3 linked regions of the Schizosaccharomyces pombe genome follow. The gene in region 1 interacts genetically with each later gene. Each region holds a gene or a part of one and is shown in the gene's direction. Other genes may lie near its edges.

What was found. A genetic interaction does not mean that the proteins touch.
Region 2: mutations in dis2 (region 1) and spc7 are lethal when combined (synthetic lethality), as found in Schizosaccharomyces pombe (one study listed by BioGRID).
Region 3: mutations in dis2 (region 1) and nsk1 impair growth when combined (synthetic growth defect), as found in Schizosaccharomyces pombe (2 studies listed by BioGRID, with this or other methods).

Annotation. Positions count from the first base shown.
Region 1 is NC_003423.3:3,172,511-3,176,770, reverse strand, and holds dis2 (serine/threonine protein phosphatase PP1 catalytic subunit Dis2), read left to right. Parts: upstream 1-1,672; coding exon 1,673-1,724; exon of another isoform or gene 1,725-1,792; intron 1,793-2,073; exon of another isoform or gene 2,074-2,120; coding exon 2,121-3,052; 3' UTR 3,053-3,606; downstream 3,607-4,260. Other genes in the region: hom6 (homoserine dehydrogenase), read right to left, coding at 38-77; rpl29 (60S ribosomal protein L29), read right to left, coding at 4,210-4,260. UniProt on the Schizosaccharomyces pombe protein: Essential role in cell cycle control. PP1 is perhaps required for exit from mitosis.
Region 2 is NC_003421.2:785,789-792,482, reverse strand, and holds spc7 (outer kinetochore KNL network protein, KNL-1 family member, blinkin, Spc7), read left to right. Parts: upstream 1-1,822; 5' UTR 1,823-1,868; coding exon 1,869-5,963; 3' UTR 5,964-6,194; downstream 6,195-6,694. UniProt on the Schizosaccharomyces pombe protein: Acts as a component of the outer kinetochore KNL1 complex that serves as a docking point for spindle assembly checkpoint components and mediates microtubule-kinetochore interactions.
Region 3 is NC_003424.3:3,180,930-3,185,005, reverse strand, and holds nsk1 (Clp1-interacting, microtubule plus-end binding Nsk1), read left to right. Parts: upstream 1-1,678; 5' UTR 1,679-1,978; coding exon 1,979-3,367; 3' UTR 3,368-3,576; downstream 3,577-4,076. Other genes in the region: 3-oxoacyl-[acyl-carrier-protein] reductase Oar2, read left to right, coding at 3,870-4,076. UniProt on the Schizosaccharomyces pombe protein: Ensures chromosome alignment and accurate chromosome segregation during mitosis. Promotes proper kinetochore-microtubule (k-MT) interactions during anaphase B.

The DNA of each region.
Region 1 (4,260 bases):
ACAAAACATTCAAGCATTCAATTTATTGTGTGCTTACCAACAATAGCAACGTTAACGTTAGTTCTGCTAGCTGACATTTTCAAATAGTGGGTGGGAGAGGTAGAGATGCTACGACGTTGGGTCGGATTACGAAAAGCAGTGACAAGGGTTTTCTCAAAGGAAACTTTGGAAGAGGTGATATACGAATTGATAATTTTGTTGTAGGGAAATAAAATTTTAGAAAGTGTAGATAATTTAGGGAGATTTAAATTTTTTCCATGTCTAAATATTGTCATACCAAACATTTTTTAGAAGAGTTTATTTTATACCCAAAAATGAGTTTTCAACCAAGGAAGGATCTTTCTCTCTGATTGATATCAAAGTTTTGCAGGTATATTTGTTGTGAACAAAATGTGAGCGACATTATATTAATCGAGTCAGAACATATTTGTAATAATACTCAAAAGCGCAAAATCTATTACTGTAGCAATAATGATGTTGATTTCGTTTGATACAAATTTTATTTAATTTGATTTTGTTTTATTGAAGCTCCGCTAAATAAACTTAGCTAGAAATCTAGTATAGAAGCCGATTTATATAAATTAATCACAAATTATAAATATAACGCATTAAATTTCATATATGGGATTCAATGGCATACAATCATATATTTACTTTTACAATTAATAAAAACCACTTAATCAACTTATGTGATTTATTAGTGTTTATCGACTCGTGAAAAAAAATATTTAATTTTTTGCTTCGTAAATTAAATTATATGCTGCTAAGTGTCTAAATAAATCACATTCCATCCATCAAATTTGCTTTTTTATTATTAAAAAAAAAAAAAAAAAAAAAAAAAAAAGAGATTTTTGAAGAGAAAAGTCTAGGGTTCAAGAAAATGAAAAACTGTAATGAAACCAATCTGACTATATAATTTGTTAATTATATATGCATATTATTATGATTAGCAAACTCAAATCATAAGCAGGTGCAGCTTTTTCAATTTAAAAGTTCAGATAACATACATTAAATTATTTATTTATTTTCTAAATCAAGCTTAGAAGAAAATAAAATATTATGATAAAATACTGCGAAATTAAAATGTTCTGAATATACCATTTTAAATTCTAATGAAGTTTTCTTGCAAAACAATAAACCGATATTATCTTGAAGTAGGTTGCTATCTCTTAAAATATTTAAATTATTCTTCACCTTTTATTAATAAAGAAAATTGAATCAATTTGCTAGACAATTTGTAGAGCAGCAAGATTTAGAGGGTTGTTTAAAATCAACAATTAATATAAGAAAAGAATTCCAAAGTAATTTAATTATAGGTTTATATACGTTTTTTTAATGTAGTAGTGATTATAGAAACTAGGAATATAGGAAAGTAGGCACATATTATGCATCAAGCTCGTTGTACACCCACCACCCAACCATTCAACTACCTACTACATACAACTCACTCCAGTTTCCTACTGTTAGCCATAACCTTTATTTCTGAGTTAGCAGCAAATATTGCTTTTAAACGGTTTGCCGACTGAATACCGTTCTCCGTCCGTCTTACTTTTCCTCGGAACACTTTACTTGGAAGAAAAATCGTCGAAATTCGGTCGAGTAAAAAATTAATCACAGACCCAAAAATTTGACTTCATAAGTGTCAAAAGCGGTTATATTGGATACCTGTAAAATGTCGAACCCAGATGTGGATTTGGATTCCATTATCGACCGCTTGTTAGAAGGTGAGTGGGGAAAAGCAGACTTGATCATGATGAAGGGTTGAGTTTAGACAAATTTTTGAAAGGAAATTGAAATCAGTTGTTGTTTAATACAATAATTTACATGAAGAAACTGGAAACGACTCTATGTAAATGTTCATTCAACTGTTCATAAAATTTGAGGAAAACCCAGGAAAAAGGGAAAGTTTTTTCTTTGAAAACGTTTAGAAAGCATTTTCTTTGATTCTTGGTCTCATTTGTGATGACACTTGCTTTATATACATAATCACGCATATTTGTATTCAAATGCGATTGCATATTGGCATATATCGTGTTTCTGTGTGAATGATTTTTCTAACCAATACTTCCATCCTTAATTTTACCATTTAAACCATTTAGCTATTTACTAACTTCTTTTAGTCCGTGGTAGTCGTCCAGGTAGACAGGTTCAATTATCTGAAGATGAAATACGATTTTTATGTAACAAAGCACGTGAAATATTTATTAGTCAACCTATCCTTCTAGAGCTTGAAGCTCCTTTGAAAATTTGTGGAGATATTCATGGCCAATATTACGATCTTCTTCGACTTTTTGAGTACGGAGGATTCCCTCCAGAAGCCAACTATCTGTTTCTAGGTGATTATGTTGACAGAGGAAAACAAAGCTTGGAAGTAATTTGTCTTTTGCTCGCTTATAAAATCAAGTACCCCGAAAATTTTTTTATTTTACGTGGAAATCATGAATGCGCCAGTATTAATCGTATCTATGGATTTTACGATGAATGTAAGCGCCGTTATAACATTAAGTTATGGAAAACATTTACAGATTGCTTCAACTGCCTTCCTATAGCAGCTATCATTGATGAAAAAATTTTTACTATGCATGGAGGTCTTTCGCCAGATTTGAACTCTATGGACCAGATCCAAAGAATCATGCGACCGACCGATGTCCCTGATACTGGGTTACTCTGTGATTTACTTTGGTCTGATCCTGACAAGGATCTTACAGGCTGGGGTGATAATGATAGAGGTGTTTCTTTCACGTTTGGACCTGATGTTGTCTCTCGGTTTTTGCACAAACACGATATGGATCTTGTTTGCCGAGCCCATCAGGTTGTGGAAGACGGTTATGAGTTCTTCTCTAAACGTCAGCTAGTCACATTGTTCAGTGCACCTAATTACTGTGGCGAGTTTGATAATGCAGGTGCGATGATGAGTGTTGACGAGAGCTTGTTGTGCAGTTTCCAGATTTTGAAACCGGCTGAAAAAAAACAACGCTACGGATACCAAGGTTCAAGTCAAAATTGGCACATGACTCCACCTCGGAAGAATAAGACAGGAAATTCAAAGTAATTTAAGCTCAATCCAATTTCTCCCATTCTTTTTTGTTGGTTTCATTTTCCACAAGCAACAATTCGACGATAATACCGCTTTATGTAGCTGTTTGAACGGATTTCTTTTCGTCATTTCTCAATGGTCGATGATTAATTGTTCATGAAATAACTGAATGTTCTTTTAAGAAATTATTTTTTGCACTACCATTTCATTATTCATTTTCTTTCTTTTCCGTCAATTGTTAGATGTATATAGACTATTGCCTTTTATTTTTCATCATCTAAATTCCCTTTTTTAACAAAATCTGACGCTTAAAAGACGGATGTTTTTACCGAGCAATAGTTGTTTGAACTACTTTATACTTCTTATCTTCGAGAGAGTGCTTAACGTTGATGATGGCATTTTCCGCTGCAAGCTTCTGTTTGCTATCGGTGGAATCCTTTATAATGACCATTGACAATTTTGTTTAAAGGTCTTTCATTTCAATTATGTATACTGGTCTCACGTTGGAAAATAATTTGCCTATTTAGTTATTGTTTATACTACTATGCAATCAAATTTCCTTTTCAGTGATGCTATTTTATGGTAGTTCACACGTTTATATACAGTAGGCTTATACAATGTTTCGGCATTCCTTGGGATTTGATAATATAAAGCCACCGTTTAATCGTAAGAGAGAGTAAGGTGCTTATTATCATTACAGCTATTTACCGGCGAGTTAGCAGAGTACTCACTAACAAGTCTATGAACACAATAATAATATTAAGAAATTCAGATTTATACTGCTGCTAAGGTACTATCAATTAATAGAAAATTTGTACCACCCAATTCTTGACTAAATTCGGTGAAGATTAGCCGAAAGTTAGCCAATATGTATAAGGGCGAATCATCAGTCTAGCACGAAAAACAAGTTCAACCGCAATTAATCTCACGGGTAATTTTGTTAAAAAGTGCAATGATACAATTTACTTTAGATTAACAGAACGTCACAGCTATTCATATACATCCAGTAAGAGCTTACTCTACGCATTCGCTTTAAATTTAACCGGCAGACTACCTTTATTTTTAGAAGCACAAATCAAACGAGATTCTCATTTTAGAAATCCAAAATTTTTAAAACGTTGAATTATGCCATTTATGTAGAAACCAAACTAAGACAACTAATTCCAAGCATTTTAAGCAGAGGCCTTAGCTTGACGAATAGCTTCGACGGTACCACGGTTGGC
Region 2 (6,694 bases), on another chromosome or scaffold:
TTCTTTTTTTTTTGGCACAATTTTGGCTAATCCTTGCAATTTGAAGCATTAGTTTGGCCCCTTTTAAGTAAAGTTAGTATGCTAAATGAATTGTGGAATAATCTATATTTTTGCAATTGTTAAAGGACAAGCCTGGACTGCTGTATAGACAATACTTTTTCTATTTTTATCAAATCTTCCTCAGAGAAGATGTCTGACGCCCTTTTTATCATGTCACACACATTATGCTAAGTAAAGGATTCTAGTGAAATACAGTAGTTATGCAACTATTAATAAGTCATTATTAAATTGAAACATGTTATGTCGTTTGAAACTGGATAACATTACGATACCGGAGATTTGTGACCATTTATATCGTAACATTGACTAAATCCAAATGGGAGAATGATATTGGGCTAACCAAGTCTGCTCGTATTTGAAGGCTTATACCAAATGCAACGAATAGAATATCATACCATACTACGGGATACACGGGATTTACAAATATCCAATTGTAAGAATTGTCAATTTCCCGGATTTAAAAAAAAAAAAAGAATGTTAGTATTGATGACAAAAGCCTTACTTGTTTGAAATACTGAACAATTATCATTCGTTTATACAACGCTATCCTTCCTGTGCCGAATATAAACATTTTACGTCCTTTTGTATTTCCATTCTTCAAAGAAATCCTAATCGTGGTATATGATTTATCATTCTAATAAAAAATATTAAGACAAGCGAGCTCAGCCATACTTGTTTTTTTTTTACTCATTTAAATGTTGTACAAATGCTAGTTATGTTACTAAGCTTTACTGTGATTTGAAAGCATTAGTGTTGTTAATAACACATATGGATTATAGTACATAATATATCAATTTCAGGTCTTAGCAACGCAATCGTAATCTGACTTAAAAGGATTTATAATTTCTATTTGTGATCAATATATCATCGTAAAAGGAAAAGTACACGAATTAATGTCTGGTCAATTTCACTATGGCTAAGTATAACCATGGAAATGAACAGGAAATAGTTCAGAATGAGCTAGCTTATATTTGCTTAGCCGGTAACCTTTTATAACCACTTTTGAATAGTAAACAATGATGGAACAGGTTACGAGAACCTCAATGGAAAGTAGAACATAGAATTACATGTGGTTGTAAGTTCATGGCAATATCCATCAAATTATAGAAATACTAACAATAAACAGTTTTTTTCTCGATTATTGATTATAAGCCGCTGGAATGATATTAAATAAACACACTCCTTTAAAGGAATATTCACGAGTATTATTATAATATACAATTTGCGAAATAATAATTTATAACAACCTCGCTACAATTTACTTATACTTCTTACAACCGCACATTGCTTTCAAGTTAATCCATTAAATTATGCCAAAAGAACAGTGCGGCTCATTTGACAAAACATTCAAGTGAATCTTAGATATCTATACCTTTTTGAAGTTTGTATTCCTCCATCACAGTGCGCATATGCTTGTGATGCTCATTACCTTATTGTTTACAGAAAACCCAATATTACAAATAGACCCAGTTGAACAAAAGTACCCCCAATTTACCTTTACTTTATACAATTTGTTAATGATAAGAATGAACAACAGTCATATTGTTCATTGGAACTTTTACAAATAGGATCTTTATTCATTATTTATTCAGATTAGCTAACAGGAATGATTACAGAAAGCATCATCGTAGTCTACCGTATCCTAAAAAGGCTTACAGACTCCTTAAATAATACAACGAAAGGCGTTCTAGGCCGCAAAAAGAAACTCACCGCCATAAATTTAACGAACTATCATTACAATTTCTTATGTTCGTCTTAATCTAAAAACAACAAAGTTCGTGTGTCGACGTGCTTTGTTTAACTTGACGATGCCAACATCGCCTCGTCGCAATAGTATAGCGACGACCGATAATGTTATAGGAAGAAACAAAAGTAGGAAGCGTCCACACTCGCTTGGAGGACCTGGTGCGCTTCAAGAACTTAAAGAACACACAAATCCAGCAAAAGGCATTCTAAAGAGTTATTCATCCTTTTCCGTAGATCCCGCTTTCACAGGAGATGAAGACTTTAATGATATACACACACAAATAAATAACACGGTCATTGGAATCTCTAGTAATGTTATGGCTGCGTCAAAGAGACTTCAAATGGAAGACCTACAGCAATTGTCGCGTGAGACGTCTAGAAAAAGTTTGAACAGAAGAGTTTCCTTTGCTAGTCATGCACGTGTACGTTGGTATCCTAAAGATCACCAGAGTGACTCGGAAAAGTCGACATCTAATCACAGCACACCTGAGCGAACTTTTGCATCTGATGCTAAAAACCATTCCCCTAAAGGTCCAACAACGACAAGTTTTTCGAGAAACGAAACACAATCATCTCCCCATAGTCATAGTGCCTCGATTATTTCAGACGGTAGTGATATGGACATTGCGTCCCCTATTCGGTCAACCGAATCAGATATGGTCTCTGAGGCATTGAATGCTGGCCATCCGCCTCCTTCTCTGTATCCGGAGAATGATGATTTAAGTATCCAGAATCCAACAAAAGCCTTACCTGAAGCAGAAAAGGCACTTGATGTTCACGATGCCACGAGAGAGCAGGTTAATGATAGAGAGGAAACTAACATGGATTTGACTATCCAATTCCAAGAAGCAGATTCGTTTTTATCACATTCCGAATCAATTAAAGGTCTTAGCTCTAGCGAGCAAGGTACTGTTTATAGTTTAAAAGCTTCTCATGACCCTTCAAACCAAACTCAACTTTCATCCCCTAACAAATCATCTAGTCCAACTAGTATTGAAATTTCGGATTTCTCCAAAAATAACGAAAATCACGATCAGTCGGAAAATAAAGAAGAAGAAGAAGATATGATGCTAACTCGACCTATTGAAATTCCGCAACACTTTTCCCCCATCGCTCGCCCTTTAACTTCCCAAGAAGCTATTGTTGACATGGATATTACCTCTAATAACATTAATTTATCTCCAGTGTCTCATTTTTCCAATGGCTTAGATTTACAAAACTTAGAAGAAGCGCCTATGAACCTTACCCGACCAATTAATGCTAATCCTCACTTAACTAATCATTCTCCGAACGATTTAACTAATGGAGAAGAAGAAATGGATACCACCTCCGCCTTTAATATCGAAAACTCACATTTAACTCTCCTTTCCCCCATTCGTCCATCGTCACGATCCATGGAAGAGCAAATAATGGACTTGACACAACCCATTAGCTCTACAAATGCACCCACCCATTTGAATGAAGATGATTTAAATCAATTTACCTCAAATATATCCTCTTCTTCAAAACCGAGAAAGGATAATAACAAGACTGCCAATTCTTCAAAGCCCATTCCCGACAGTGAGGACTTTATGGACATTACTAGACCTTTCAATATATTATCCCCTTCTAAAGAAGCACTTTCCGAAGAGCAACCAATGGAATTAACCTCAACAGTTTTTCCTTGTGAGAATTCTACATCTCATCTTGAGGTGGAAGAAGCTGCTATGGACGAAACAGTGGCTTTTCAAATCCGTGGAAACAATGTTGAGTTACCTTCAGCAGACAAGGAAAATGCCGAGAGAGAAGAAATACCCTCATATAGTGATAAGTCAGAAAATTTCAATACTACCTCCTTTACCAACCATGAACGGTCACCAAATGGGAACAATAATCTAAAATTTTCGAAAGATCCTAACTCTTCTTCTCCAAGTAGACATGTGGTAGCGACTCCTACTGATAAGCTTGGTACTCGGAAAAGACGCTTAAGATATAGCACTTCAAGTTTTGATCAAAGTACCTTGCGTCGCAATCGTCTTGCAACAATCCGTAATGCTCGAAAATCAATTTCAACTTTGAATGACAGAGAACTTCTACCGGTTAACTTTTTCGAAAAAAAAGTAAATTCTGGTCTCTATAAATCGGTTGAGCGATCCGAAAATTATCGTCTAGGAGCTACTCCACTTACCGCAGAGAAGCCATTCACCACAGAAAAGCCGCTTTCAAGTCTTCCTGAAGAAGTTTCAAGGCAACCCACTGATGACAAAGGCGAACAAGTGTCTAATGCAGATGTTGATTCTGGATTGAGTAAAACAGAGCGACTAACAATTCAACAGACTAACGAAATTAAGCACGTTCCAACTAATACGACTTCTTCTGTTAAGCTTCCTCAACAACCTTCGAATGAGGATGAAAAAGAGCGTATAACAACTGCAGATTACGCCGATTCAACTAGTTTGGAGCGATTGGAATCTCAGGAACCCAACCGGAATGAACTTGTTCAAGTTGGTTCGTCAAATGCAGGTAATACAACTTCCGTGGGCATGAATGAACATGAGAAGTCACCCGTCAAATTATCAAAAGGTGTGAGCAATGTTGATACATCGTTGGGCGCTTCGACTATTAACACGAACATTTTGAATCAAGACTCTGGTCCAAATGAAGAAATACCTGTTGGTAATGAGCCAGAATTTGATACGATGCCAACTCTACCAAACGTCGAGCCGATAAGCCTATCAGATTTTCTTAAAATGACCGGAATTGAATTTTTGGATAATCTTACTATTGCTAAAAGACGAGAAACCCTATTGCCAAATGCTGAAGAAAATAAGAAATGCAGTATCCAAGAACTTTTGGAATCTTTTTACATACAATTCCCTTTGTTAGAGTTATACAAATTTAGTTGTCAGCAATTACAGGATTATATTGCCGAAGGGAAGGATTTTGTTACTAAAATTGAAGAGGAAACTTTGAAAGAGAACCCGTTACTATTCTATGAGTATAGGAAAGCATCCAGTGATATGAGGGTTTTAATGGATTCACAATTTTTAATGATGAAAACTTTTGCTAGACTTCAAGCAAAAGGTGATTGGTACGAATGGCGTGAGGGTTTGATGCAAGGAATCAAACATGAATTAAATTTAAATTTAACTGGGATGCAAAGAAGCTTGACCCATTTAATGGATGTCGCGAATGTTATTCATCCGTATGCGCAGGAAATTCAAGAGAGATACAATGGTAGTATTACTACAGTACAGACATTAAAGAAGCAGAAGGAATTTGCAAATCAGTATGACTCAACTCTTCTAGCGCAGGCGCAAGAAAAGTTAGAGAAACTCAAGGTTGAGGTTGAGAGGAGACGTCGGCTTCTGAGTGAAAAAGAAGAAAGAAGAAAGGAGTTGGCAATAAAGATAGAACAAGTGACAAACTCTTGCTCTGATTTGGAATTACGTACCAACGCTGAACAAGATTTTTATGCGAAAAACCAAGATTTTGAATTTGACGAAATTAAGCGATACGAGGAGCAGTTGTTAAATCTTAAAAATGAACTTGGCTGGACCATAGTTTCTTTGACCGCGGGCGGAATTAAATTAGCTACAAATAACACTGCTCTTTCTCCTTATTCAGCCGAGGTTACGGTTGAGATTTTGAGGCAAAATTTCCAAGTTAACGTTGATATTGCCTGTAAGTTCCCTAACGAAAGTAATGCTTGCAGCTCAAATGTGCTCGAGCATGTTGCATCGTCGTTTTCTAAATGGCATTCCAAGGTATTTTCTAGGAACTTACGTCTTCTGAAGAAGTATCTTAACGATGTTTCAATTTGTTGGGAACAAATTGTTTATCTTGTCCAAGATTTCCAGCGATTATGGTACCATTGGCCCTTTTTGTCAGTTGAAAATGATGATAAGTCTATTATCATAAATGTTGAGCTATACCTGCGTTCGGTATCATCTAAGGTAAAGGTTGTTTTCGGTCTCCCAATTGATACTATCTACCAAACTACTGAAGTAGGAAAGTTTTATGCTTCTACATCAGTCGCTGTGAAACAGATGTATGCGGAAAGTGAAGGAGACTCTTATGTTAGTGAGGTTTTGAATACTCTTTCGGAAGTGGTGCATTGTACATCAACTTATGCCCTTTCGTCTGCTTGTCTTACTGTTTGGAACAAATACAGCTAGATATTAATGGGAATGATTAGCTATGCTGCGCCGAAGCGACTTCCTTTCCCAATATTCATTTTGTGCTTAACGCTTGGAAATATCATTTATCCTTGTTGTATACTAGTTCATTCGTTTTCGTTAATTCACATGTTACTAAAGAAAATGTATATATTTTATGCTATTTAATATTGGTGAAATAATAATGGTAGATCTTGACTGATAATGAAATTATAAATCTTTTTGTTAAACCCGTAATGCGCTACAAAATAAAGTGTTTAGTTAATATATAAATAAACTATCCATAATTAAAAGATTCTCGGATGTGCAAATCTGGTGTAGTAAAGTTTCACATTGATCTGATAAGTACGGGATCGACATCTTACGTTCTCCTAGATACATATATACACAATCGATAGAAGAGACCGATCCTAAACAAAACAAAGATCTTAACTAATTTAAGAGAATTGGACGGATATTTAGATTTTTATAATTGAAAGTCAGACGCTGCTTACAAAATTATGAGTTTGCAAGCTCAAATTTTGCAGAATTGAAATAGGAGGTTTTTTAGATTTTTAGGCTTCGCTCGGATTATTAAGTTATCCATTTTTTATTTTTGAACACAGTTTAATTAAGTAAGTCAAAGTTCCTGAACCTCGTCTGCAATTTCTGATAAAAATATTAATACACTTAAAAATAGATTGCATCCGCAATCGAAAGTTCACAGACAGCCGGTTGAGCCCTAATTTCCA
Region 3 (4,076 bases), on another chromosome or scaffold:
AGTGCAAGCAATTAATGGTACTTGAACTTATAGAAATGACAACTCAACAAATGTTACTGAAGTTTAAAAGGGCAACTTCTTTACATTGAATTGTTAGAAATGATTTTACAATACCGAATCAAGAATTCGGCGAGTGCAACTAGTAGTGTGATTAGTACATTGTAAATATTTTATTTTTTCAAATTGACTTCTGATGCGATTGAGTATTGATGCAATTGAAAAATCCGTCCTGCAACAAATTACCCTTATAAGCACACAATGAAAAAAGAAACAGCGGCTCTACTAGTTAAAGGGTATCGAAATCAGAGTTGAAGGAATTGCCTTTGCAAAATAGATAAGTAGTGCAGCGAAGCGGTAATAACGAGGAAGTAACTCGGCAAATATTTGTACAGTTAATAAAACTGTACTTGAAGTTTAATATTTTCAACTTTCTATACAAAAATTGATTGATATTCATGAGTTACGCAATTCGCTTTTTGAACCAGAAATAAGCATCGGCTAATTTTAGTAGTTAATTATACATATATTTTTTTCATGTATTTTATATTGTGTTTTTTTATTTTTTAGGTTAATTGCTTGTATAAATTTTTTGTGTAATTTTTATCGTGTTTTTTTTTATTAATGGTGCATGAAACTTCTTTTTCTTTTTCTTTATTTTGGGTGAGACAAAGTGTAACTCAAAGTATAATTCGCGTTCTAGCAAGTATAGCTACAATGTGTATTTCCCAATTTTTTTTTTTTTTTTTTTTTAAGGAATAAAGATCATGATTGCATAAAATAATTTGTTCTTTCCTAATCAATTGGCAAATATCAATGATTATTGATTAACGATATTGATGCATTAAACAATGTAATCGTTAGGAAGTTCAAATGCTGTCATTGAAATTATTCATTTTTAAAGAGCTATTCAATTACAATGGAGTATGTAGGTTAGTAGGTGCGATGATGGGTATTTATTTACCTTTTCATCAAAAACAAAAAAATTTACTAAGTTACCATATGACAAAACAGTTGCAAACCGCAATTAATGTAGTCCTTTTCTTCTTACTAAAAATTTTTGAATCTCAGCATTTTCTTATAATAAATAAGCAAGTGTTTTGAAACCCCAAACATTGTTTTTAGATTTACATACCGTCCTTTGGTTAAGTAATTAATTAATTCATACATCTTTAATTATTTCAACAGTAATTTCCACAAACTCGATAAAACTATATCGTCATAATCATTCTGAAAAGATATACTGTCTTTTTCAAACTGTAGACCCGAATCAGATTCTTAATCAACTTATTTTAAGCATGAAATATTACTCGCTAACAAATCTACAAACTAGGAAAACAGGGAAATTAAAAAATTATGGATAGTATTAATAACTGTTCTCTGTCCAAGCTTCGTATTCTATTATTCAGTATAATGCTCTTTGTTTACCTACTACAAATTAGTATTTCTCGGATCATAATACTTTTGTTTTGTACAGAAACATAATGAAATAATATAAAAGTACTTTCCTGATTTTTTAGAGCCTTTGCTAAAAAGGTAATTGTAAAAACACGTTGTGACAATAAATTATAAAGCTTCGCAGATTTACTATTAAATTTTTTTTTAATTTCTATGTGTCAAAATATAATTTATTGTTTCCACTTAGAGTATAAAATATTTCTTCCGTACAACAACCTCATTTACTATTTAGCCATACGTTAATCTGTGTACATGTACTATAATTCCCATACGTAAACGCTTCCTTGAGAGTACAGGTATCAGTATTGAGCCTAATATCTCAAGAATTTAAAAACCTATGTTATACTAATACTTTTGCTCGTATTGCTTTTGAGCTGCATTGTTTTCAATCAGTGAAGTTCAAATTCCATGCGCGGTACTCTAACCTTCGTTTTATTAAAGGCCTAACTGTTTCTTTTTTTTTATTTCATATTTCTTGGATTTTGTACATTTCATACTTGATATACATTTAACACTGCTGATAATGGCTTACAAACTTTCTCTTTCAGCTGTTGAACCTCTTTTAATTTTCCCTGCTGCTCCTTTTTCGACAAAGAAAGAAAAATCAACATTTCAAAATAATCTTATATCCAGTGATGTCTTTTCTTCAGCATTGAAACCTCTGTCGCCCTTAAAATCGCTAGTAGCTGACTTTTCTACTCACTCAAACCCTTCAAAGGATAATCAGCTTATTTCACCTCCAAAAATTAACCACAGGGAATTTTTAAATGAAGAAAAAGAAAGCGATACCCAAACTCGTTACTTGAAACAACTTATCAACATCTGTAACAGTCCCTCAAAGAACCACGAAACGTCCTTGTCTCCCAGCAAGAGTACTATCGATAATAATGAAAGAAAGCTCGATAATGAAATAGATAATTACAAGCACGATGTCAAATATTCACCATATAAAGGCCAAGGAAAAACCTCAAATCCTTCGCAAGGCACTACAAAATGCCCAGGTATATTTGAAGAGGACAACTTTTTCAGTGTCTCACCTAAACGAAGAAAAAATTTGTTTGAAAAATATGGAAAAACAGATCTTGGAAAACCGGCCCGTGTGCCGAGTCCTAAGAAATCGTTGTCATCAACTATAAAGTCTCCACCTTCCCGTGTTAAATTACCCACCTCCATCTTAAGTAAGTCTCCTCCTCTCAAAGTTCCTAATAAAAACCGATCATCGACATTTTCTCCATTAAGAACCCCTACATCAAGTTCGAAGACATTCGTAATTGTCGACCACTCAACTCCATCTCCACCTTCCATTAGGACCAAGTTAGAAGCTTTTGCACCAAATTCTACATTTGCAACTCAAAAGAGACTACGAAGATTAGCTACACTTGAATCAAGCCCAGCTCTCCGGTCCACTTTGAAATCTCTGCAGAGTAAATCAAGTCCTGTCAAATTACTAAAACTGAAAGAAGAGAAGGCAAAAATCAAAAATCAACTCTTCAAATCTGAAGAAGAAAAAGACCCTGTAGGTAAACAAAAGTTACCTTTAGAATCTTCATTAAGTCCGTTAGACCACTCTTCTGCTGAAAAGGAAATGCAAAAAGCCCCTGCGAAAAATAAAAGGAGAAGGACTGGCTCTTTAGAAACCGGCCTCTATCCAAAGGAATCACCTACACCGTCTAAGAAAAGATCTAAGCGTGTCCTATGGTCCTTGAAACACATCGTGAGCCCTGGTAATAGAGAGAAGCATTCGTTAAACAGTACTCCGGAATCAATTATGAAAAAGGATACCAAATGGCCACAAAACCTTGCAAAGAATAACATTAATTCAGAGCCGAATACCCCAACTAAGTCGAATATTGATACTGGGAAAGCTCACAGTGCACGAGCTCATAAAACTCGAAAAAACATTCAAAGTTAAGCATCAAATTGGTGATGAAAGAAGAGTTAAATTCCGAAATATTTTTTGTCTTCTTCCTATAATTCAACGTTTATATATACCATTCGCATATTATTAAATCCTTAATTCAATGGCTCATTGATTTACAAACATAGTTACGGTTACAAATATTAATGTGATTTCTCTTACTACATTAAAGAATAATATTGATGAATTCCATTAAGGGTGACTTAACAATGTGCGCTTTGAAAACTAATACTAAAGCTTTCTTTAGCAAACTCGTATTATCTAAAAGAAACGAATTATAATGAAGTATACTGTAGAGATTACTTTTGCTTATATATACCTAGTACCAACTTCGAATATTAAAACGAAATTAATTAATAAATACCACTTCCTTTTCTGTTTGGAAATAAACTAGTAAATCCTTTTTTGATATTGAATAGCCGTAGATAGATGTATCTGTTTGCTGTCAAAGGCGTTGAAGGGAGCATTCATCAGCAACGCCCAACTCCTTCATTCAATGCGAAAAGTTCTAATAACTGGAGGTAGCAGTGGATTAGGTAAGAGAATCGCACAAATTTGGAGCCAAAAAGGTCATCAATGTCATATAGTGGGGAGAAATGAATTTCATTTAAAGGAAACTTTACAGTCGCTATCAGTAGCTAAAGGACAGCAACATACATTGACGATTGCAGATGTCCAAAGTGATATGAAAAATTTAAAGAGT